Linked DNA regions of Xenopus tropicalis. The protein of the gene in region 2 interacts with the protein of the main gene of each other region in a pairwise test. Links are inferred from orthologs where the notes say so. Each region holds a gene or a part of one and is shown on either strand. Other genes may lie near its edges. The genes, in order: ptpa and amot.

The links.
Region 1: the proteins of amot (region 2) and ptpa interact in binary tests that used the Homo sapiens proteins (3 or more experiments, as listed by UniProt). The two-hybrid records come from large-scale screens. The link is inferred for Xenopus tropicalis from reciprocal best matches to the Homo sapiens genes AMOT and PTPA.

What each region holds. Positions count from the first base shown.
Region 1 is NC_030684.2:21,726,442-21,730,267, reverse strand, and holds part of ptpa (serine/threonine-protein phosphatase 2A activator), read right to left. Parts: intron 2,152-3,826; coding exon 2,044-2,151; intron 496-2,043; coding exon 370-495; intron 1-369. UniProt on the Homo sapiens protein: PPIases accelerate the folding of proteins. It catalyzes the cis-trans isomerization of proline imidic peptide bonds in oligopeptides. Acts as a regulatory subunit for serine/threonine-protein phosphatase 2A (PP2A).
Region 2 is NC_030684.2:52,159,681-52,163,506, forward strand, and holds part of amot (angiomotin), read right to left. Parts: intron 2,737-3,826; coding exon 2,546-2,736; intron 648-2,545; coding exon 525-647; intron 203-524; coding exon 1-202.

The DNA.
Region 1 (3,826 bases), about 30 Mb from region 2:
GGCAAGCTACACAAGCAAATTCTATGGGCGTATTTATAACATTGGAGACAAACATCACTGGTGAAGTTGCCCATATCAACAAATAAGATCTTTGCATTTGTTCTCTAACTTGAATTCAAATCTAATTGCCGATTGGTTGCTATGGGCAACTTCACCGGTGATGGTGATATTTGTCTTCAATCTGTTATTCTGACCACTAGGGGCACTGTTTCCATGGCATTTCATGTTATCTTAGCTGGATTTGATTTATGAAAAATTAGTTACAAACGGGGTACAGTTCTCCTTTAAACCAAGGCCAGTAGGACCTGTGCCATGCCACTGATGAAACACAGCCATTGCCAGGGTGTGCAGCTTTCCGGTTGTGCCCACCTTATCGAGCTTGGCGTACCAGGTGCGAAAGGCCTTGTTGCCGAATCGGGAAGGTTGGTCTACCGGGGGCATCTCATCGATCCAGCGATTCAAGGTATCGAGCAGAGACATCAGTTTGTGGATCACCTGTACCCAAGGGATATAAACAGTTAGGTTAGCAAGCACCATGGCAGATGGAGCACATATGGTTATGCTTTCTAACAAAAAGGGCACCCCATTCTTTAAGAGCAGGCTGGCCCCTTTCCCATAGGCTGTTACTTGGACTTTCTGGCCTCAAAGGCAGCAAGTCGCCTGGGGTGCAAGATGTGGCCCTACTCCTTGCCAGCATATCCTGTACAGATGATTTCACTTTCGGTTACCTTTTGTATGGCAGTCAGTTGTGACAATAGCCTCCCTATAGCACAGTGCTCACGATGGACAGATCTATTTTTCAGGTACAGAGCCAACAGCATGAATCATGCCAAGACAACCTAAGAGTTGAACTGGTCATCAAGGATGCCAGGGGATCTCTGGACTGTACACAAAAAACAGGCACTAGACAGCATGACTAAAATTTGAAGTGCCTCCCCAAAAGTCCTAAATCTGGCATTATTGCAAGGGAGTACCCTGCAGTCAAACAAAATGACTCCTACTGTACTGTCCTGGAGCAACAATATAGCACCTCCCTCGCATATGTATAAATACAAATATACAAAGAAGAAATGTTCTGGGCACACAATAAGATATACCCTCATACTGTACTGTCCTGGAGCAACAATATGGCACCTCCCTCCCATATGTATAAATACAAATATACAGGAATGTTCTGGGAACACAATAAGCTGTAACGCCCATACTGTACAGTCTAAGGGAAACAATATGGCAGCTCCCAGTCCTGTGTATAATAGGAGGACTGTTCTGAACACATACAAACTACACCTTGATATTTTATGGTGTGTTTCAGGGAGCACAAGTGGAAGATAAACGCTACATGTAAACCTATTTATCCTCGAGAAGCAGAAAGGGCTGAGGCACACAATTCAGAGGACAGGCGGTTGGCATTTATTTCATATACACAGACTCTCTCCAGGCCATGCTAAAGGATCCAGCTGCGGGCAGGCAGGATTCTCGCTGTAATTAAGACCCAGGCGGAGAGGCCTTTGTTAAATAGTGCCGATGATTTACGTGGCCACCAGCCTCCCAGCCATAGGCAGCTCATTACGGGCAACCAGGTTTTTTTCTCTCTCTCTAGTTCCTTTCCAAAGGCTACAGGCTGAGTAATAGCAAAGGGGCTGCTGTACCTCTAGGCTTCAGAGCTGGGGAGGAGGGGGAGGAGGGTGGGGGGGGGAAGGGACAGTCACGCATCCATTGCTTTTTAAAGGGATTAAAAGCAGCAGAGTTGTTTGCATGGAGAAGGCTCCAGCTGCCAGCACAGGCAGCCTAATACATAATTAAAGAGACACAAGTGTCTGGGTCCCTTCTGAAAGGCAGTGTGCAAGTGCAGGCGGCTCTCTATTGTCCGGCTAAATTAATATTGCAAGGAAAAGCAATAGGGTGCATGTCCTGCGTCGCCAGGGTCAGCGGCAGGAAAACGGCGGCTAAGAGCCGCTCCGCCAGCTGAATAATATTCTGCCCCGACGATGCGCAAGTCCCAAATAAAATGTATAAAAAAAGAAAAAGTGCACTGTTACTAACAACACGCCAACCTATCTGCTGCCCTTCTCCTGAACTCGCCGAGCCACCACAAAAAAATCCATTTCCAGCCCCTGCTCTGCGGTCACCTGTTCCCTCCTGGAAGAGCCGCTGCGAATAAAGATGACAGATTATTGTATGAAGCGTTTCATTTCGGATAAATCACACCGTATCAACACCCCCCCCCTTCCACTATATCCCCAAGTTCTGCAAGGACAGGCAAAGCCAAATTCTTTATGATGCCAAACTTGATCTTTCTCTAGAGACGGGAAAATAACGGCCCGATTTATGTTGTACCGGTTCCTCTGCCCCTATAAGCACAATTCAGCAGGAACAGCCCCCTTTGCTCACAGCCTGTACAGAGAGATACCATAAAACTATGGCAGCATAGGGTTTCCCCTTGTACTAAGCACAATTCAGCAGGAACAGCCCCCTAAGTTTGCTCATAGCCTGTACAGAGAGATACCATAAAACTATGGCAGCATAGGGATTCCCCTGTACTAAGCACAATTCAGCAGGAACAGCCCCCTAAGTTTGCACATAGCCTGTACAGAGAGATACTATGGTAGGAAGAAAATAATAAGGTCCAGCACTGCTAAGCACTATATTAGAGATAGGCAGCATCTTGGGCGCCCACGATCCTCCAGTAAACTCAGCTGACAGAGGGATGCTGGGAGTTTATAGTTCCCTAACGGCTGAAGTATTTTGGTTCCTGCTCTACAAGGAAGGAATTTGGCTGTAATTGCTTTCAGACCAGGACACCACTACCGTTATAATGATTACCAGGCCTGACTGGGTGGCCAACGATCAGTACAGATTGTCCTTCCACCAAAAATACACGTATAGTCAATAAAATGACACACGCAGCATCCCAGTACTAACTACAGACTGTATGTAGGGACAGCACCCTAACATCTTGTCACACATCCCCAAGTCAAAGAGCTTGCAGTCTAATTACTGGCCATAATATGTATGGCCACTTGTGCAGTTACTGTCTGTTAAGCCCAAAGCCCAGCCAGTCAGATACCTATGCAGTACTGGCCTCCTTACGCCAGAAAATAGAAAGCAATTAAAAAGTCTTTCTTTGGGTTTTGTTATGTATATTGATAAGTTTCATGAAGATGAATGGCATTTTAGGACTTGCTTGTGTCTTGTCCCAATTATTTCACTAGAGGGAGTACCATATATTATATAATATTATATATATATCGGCACTCACCAATATCGGGGCAACGGCTGGGTGCTGACAAAAGTAATGCATCAAACTCAACAGTAGAAAGCACTCACAGCTGCGAGTGCTTTCTACTGTTGAGTTTGATATAGATATATATATATATATATAGATATATATAGATATAGATATATATAGATATATATATATATATATATATATATATATATATATATATACATACATACATACAGTGAGGAACATAAGTATTTGAACACCCTGCGATTTTGCAAGTCCTCCCACTTAGAAATCATGGAGGGGTCTGAAATTCACATTGTAGGTGCATTCCCACTGTGAGAGACAGTATTTAAAAAAAAAAATTCAGGAAATTACATTGTATGGTTTTTAAAGAATGTATTTGTATTGCACTGCTGCACATAAGTATTTGAACACCTAGCAATCAGCAAGAATTCTGATTCTCAAAGACCTGTTGGGTTAATGCCTGACGAGGCGCAGGGCGGATATTTTCGGCAAGCGGAAAATCACTTGCTGAAAATACCGCCCTATGCCTCCTATATGTGCCTGCACTTGAATGAATGGAATACGCTCGGGTGC
Region 2 (3,826 bases):
CTTCTCTTCCAAAATGGGAGTGCTACTCAGTGCAGAGGAGTGGGAAAGCAGCCCAGATCCTGCATTGGAAATGGACATAAGTGACTTGGAAGGCCGCATGGTAGAGGATTGGTCTGTTTTGCTCGGGTCCTTGCGGGACCGCTGCTGGAGAACTTTAATCATTGCATCTTTTTCAATAATCTGGGCGTGTAGTGTCTTTATCCTGCAAGACAAACCAAAAGAGAAACAAACGTTAACTTATATTGAATATTCTTAATGAGTTTACTAAATACTAAAATAAAAGAAACTTATGAAAACAAATAATTTCCCAGCAGGTAAGGACTCTTTACACCAACTACCCATTTTGTAATATGACTTGCAGATTTGCTCTGCCAGCCCAAAGCAATTGTTTATAATGACCAAAGTCTAATTTGAATGGAGTAAATATTACATGAATCATCACTGGCCAATAAGATAGACACTGCCAACTGCAGGGTCCATGTTATTCTAGGCTACCTGCTTGCTTGGAATCTCAAACTGCTCACCTGCCCTCCATATCTACACAGCGTCTGTTGGCCAAAAGAATCTCTTCTTCTTCCTTTTGGATCCGCGCCTCAAGAGAAGTATCAAAACTCCCACTCGGAGAATGGCTGATTGATGTAGTGTCTCTAAAACAAAAAAATGTCTTTGTTAGGGGCTTTGCCAATTCCTTATCTTAGGGGCAATGGAACTTGATACTCCCCATATCATGCACTGAAAAAGACAGATGACATCATATAGCAACTACATTGCATACTGATATTGTCCTGAGTCATTGCAATTAAAGTGCATTGGGATTTGCAATTTGCCACTAAGATTTCTCTACTGTGCAATTTGTGCAACACTGCTTTCAATTCAAGTTAATGAGAAGAGGTTGTATATAGGGAAAAATTGCTTTGAGAGGATCATGGCAATCAAAATAACTTGTGCTATTTGCCTAAGGTCATAAAAATACAATTTACATGACAAGACAAGAAGGTGCGTGAATCGTGGGAGACAAGGCGATCAATATCGGTAAAAGCCTCATTGGTCGGGCAGGACTGAAAATTTAGATTGAACGCCTTTGCTTTGTTTTTACTTGCATACCAGCTTAATGTTCTTAATGTTAGGACGAACCACCTTTCCTATAACCATCGGTTGTGGGAAAAATCGTAATTGTGTATGGCCACCTTTAGGGCTCTGGCACACGGGGAGATTAGTCGCCCGCGACCTTTAGGGCTCTGGCACACGGGGAGATTAGTCGCCCGCGACTTACATTGTCGCAGGTGGGATGGCAGGTGATGGCAACTCGGGGAGATTAGTCGCCCGCGAACAGGGAGTTTTGTCGCTGGCGACTAATCTCCCCGTGTGCTAGAGCCCTTATTCTGCAGCTGCCTGACACTAAAAACATTGCTTAATGATGGTAACGCGTGCCAAGAAATTACATCATCCTATAGTTTTAAAGCTGTTACTGATAAGAACATCAACGGCATGCAAGCAGTTAAATAACTTCATATAGTATACAGGCTCAGACACTATCTGTGCAGTTTTACAACTTTCTGCTCTTCAAACAGTGCTGTCCCTGGAATATCTAGCAAATTCCAATGCCCAGCATGAGAAAAGCTCACAGGGCAGAGATAAGATAAGTATGGTATGCACACACACAGCACACCCACCTTATTAGAGTCCTTGCCACTGCCACATACATTATCCCACTGCCTTGTCTAGACAGCTAACTTAGCACCTGCAGACATTATTATGATCCTGCACCTGATACTTTAATGATATTTTTATGAAGAAAAGGGAGATTTATAGAACTGGCAACCAGAAAATGTTGAGAAAATGTACCAATTCTTGATACATCTGGCCCTAAATAGCTATACAAACTCCACAGTCTGAAATTTTGCCAGTTAGAACAATAAGAGAAACACAAAACAGAGCCCGAGTCTATTTAACCATCTTTATATATATTAATTGCAGAAGTTACATTAAAAGGGAGGAATGCTAGCTATATGTATGGTAGCCACACATTGATTAGTCTTTGTGTCAAATGCATACGTGCTCCTCGACAGGCAACAACCCTGTGCTGGTTGCAAGACTTCCAAGTATTTTGAAAAAATAACCCGGAGAGCAGACAAAGTAGCTTATGACTTTCCCATAGTGATTTTTATTGCAGCATTCTCAGCACTGTGCCTTATATAGACCAATATCTCTATTGTTCTATATGTATGGTAGGCCTTTTGCTGCAACTAAGCACCCAGGAGTCAGAGTCACACTAGGTCAGGAAAGGGTTACTTGCAAATCTTTCAGATGTTTTTCAGGGGAAACTGGTAGTTGTAGTGTAACATCATCTCGTGACTTATGTTTTTGCAGGGAATGTTAACATCAGGTTAAGTTCAAACAAAGTACACAACTAAAGTCTGTTAAACCCCTTATTTTGTGAAGTTGTCAAAATATGAATATTCATTGGCAAATGCTTGTAGTCAGCTACCAAGCAACTCAGATTGTGTGTATTATATAAATACTGTTAAATATATTCAAAATCTACCTCTGAGCAGCCACAGTGGCTGCAGCATCCAGTGCAAACTGTCTCATAACACTCTCCTCCAGGTACTTCTGCTCCCACTTGGTCATATCTGCTTCAAGTGCCAGCACGCGCTCCTCCTTCTCTCTCAGCAGCTCCATGAGAGTGGCAGCACTGTATTCAGAGACATTGCTGGACTGAGAGTTCCCCTGTCGCTGTAAGAGAATACAGAAAGAGAGAATTCTACAATGCTCGTATTCTATTATCACTTGACCAACAGAAAACTAAAGAATAAATCAAAAGACTTAAATGGCAGCTATACCATCATTTGTATTGTATTCCCTTTGGATTTATCTAATGGAAGTATTACATTTCTATGTAATAGATTTCGAGAAATTGCGCCGCCGCGTGTGCCATCCCGCTGGCGACTTACATGTTTGCCGGTGGGATGGCGGGTCATGACAACTCGGGGAGATTAGTCGCCCGCGAACAGGGAGTTTTGTCGCGGGCGACTAATCTCCCCGTGTGTCAGAGCCCTTAAGAGTTTTCAAAGGACCCCAGGCCACCCTGGTGGCCAGTGAAACAGACTGATGTGTCCTTGACTGAGACACCTCAGCCCAATCAGTATCCAAATGAGGCACAGCCAGATACTAAATGGGATAGTGAAAATTCTGGTTACATAGAAACGCCAGCGGACTATCGATTGATCAGCCAAATCTATACCCAATATCTGCCAATGTGTAGTCATCTTAAAACTCTTCAAATCCAGCCCGCACTCATCAGACACGAAAGCACTAAAATCCCAATGAACAATTATCAGGGTTTTTCTGGTTACATATACTTTTAAAACCTTACAAGTCCAAATAATCCCTCTCTGCTCTTCTCACAAATGTAAGGGTCCCCATACACTATAAGATCCGCTCGCTTGGTGATGTCGCCAAGCGAGCAGATCTTCACCCGATATCCCCACCTACGGGTGGGCGATATCGGGTAGCAAGTGGCTTTAAAAAAAAATAATCTGATCGTTTGGCCCTGGGGCCAAACGATCGGATTACATTTGCGGCCATGGGGCAGTCGGTTCGGGGACCGCATCAACAAGCCGATGCGGTCCCCGATCCGACTGGATTTTCTAACCTGGCCGATCGATATCTGGCCAGATATCGGTCGGCCAGGCCGCTCGTTTCTGCCCATACACGGGCCGATTAGCTGCCGAATCAGTCCAAGGGACCGATATCGGCAGCTTCTATCAGCCCGTGTATGGGGGCCTTAAGTTTGCACCACATTTATACACAGTGCTATCCAAGC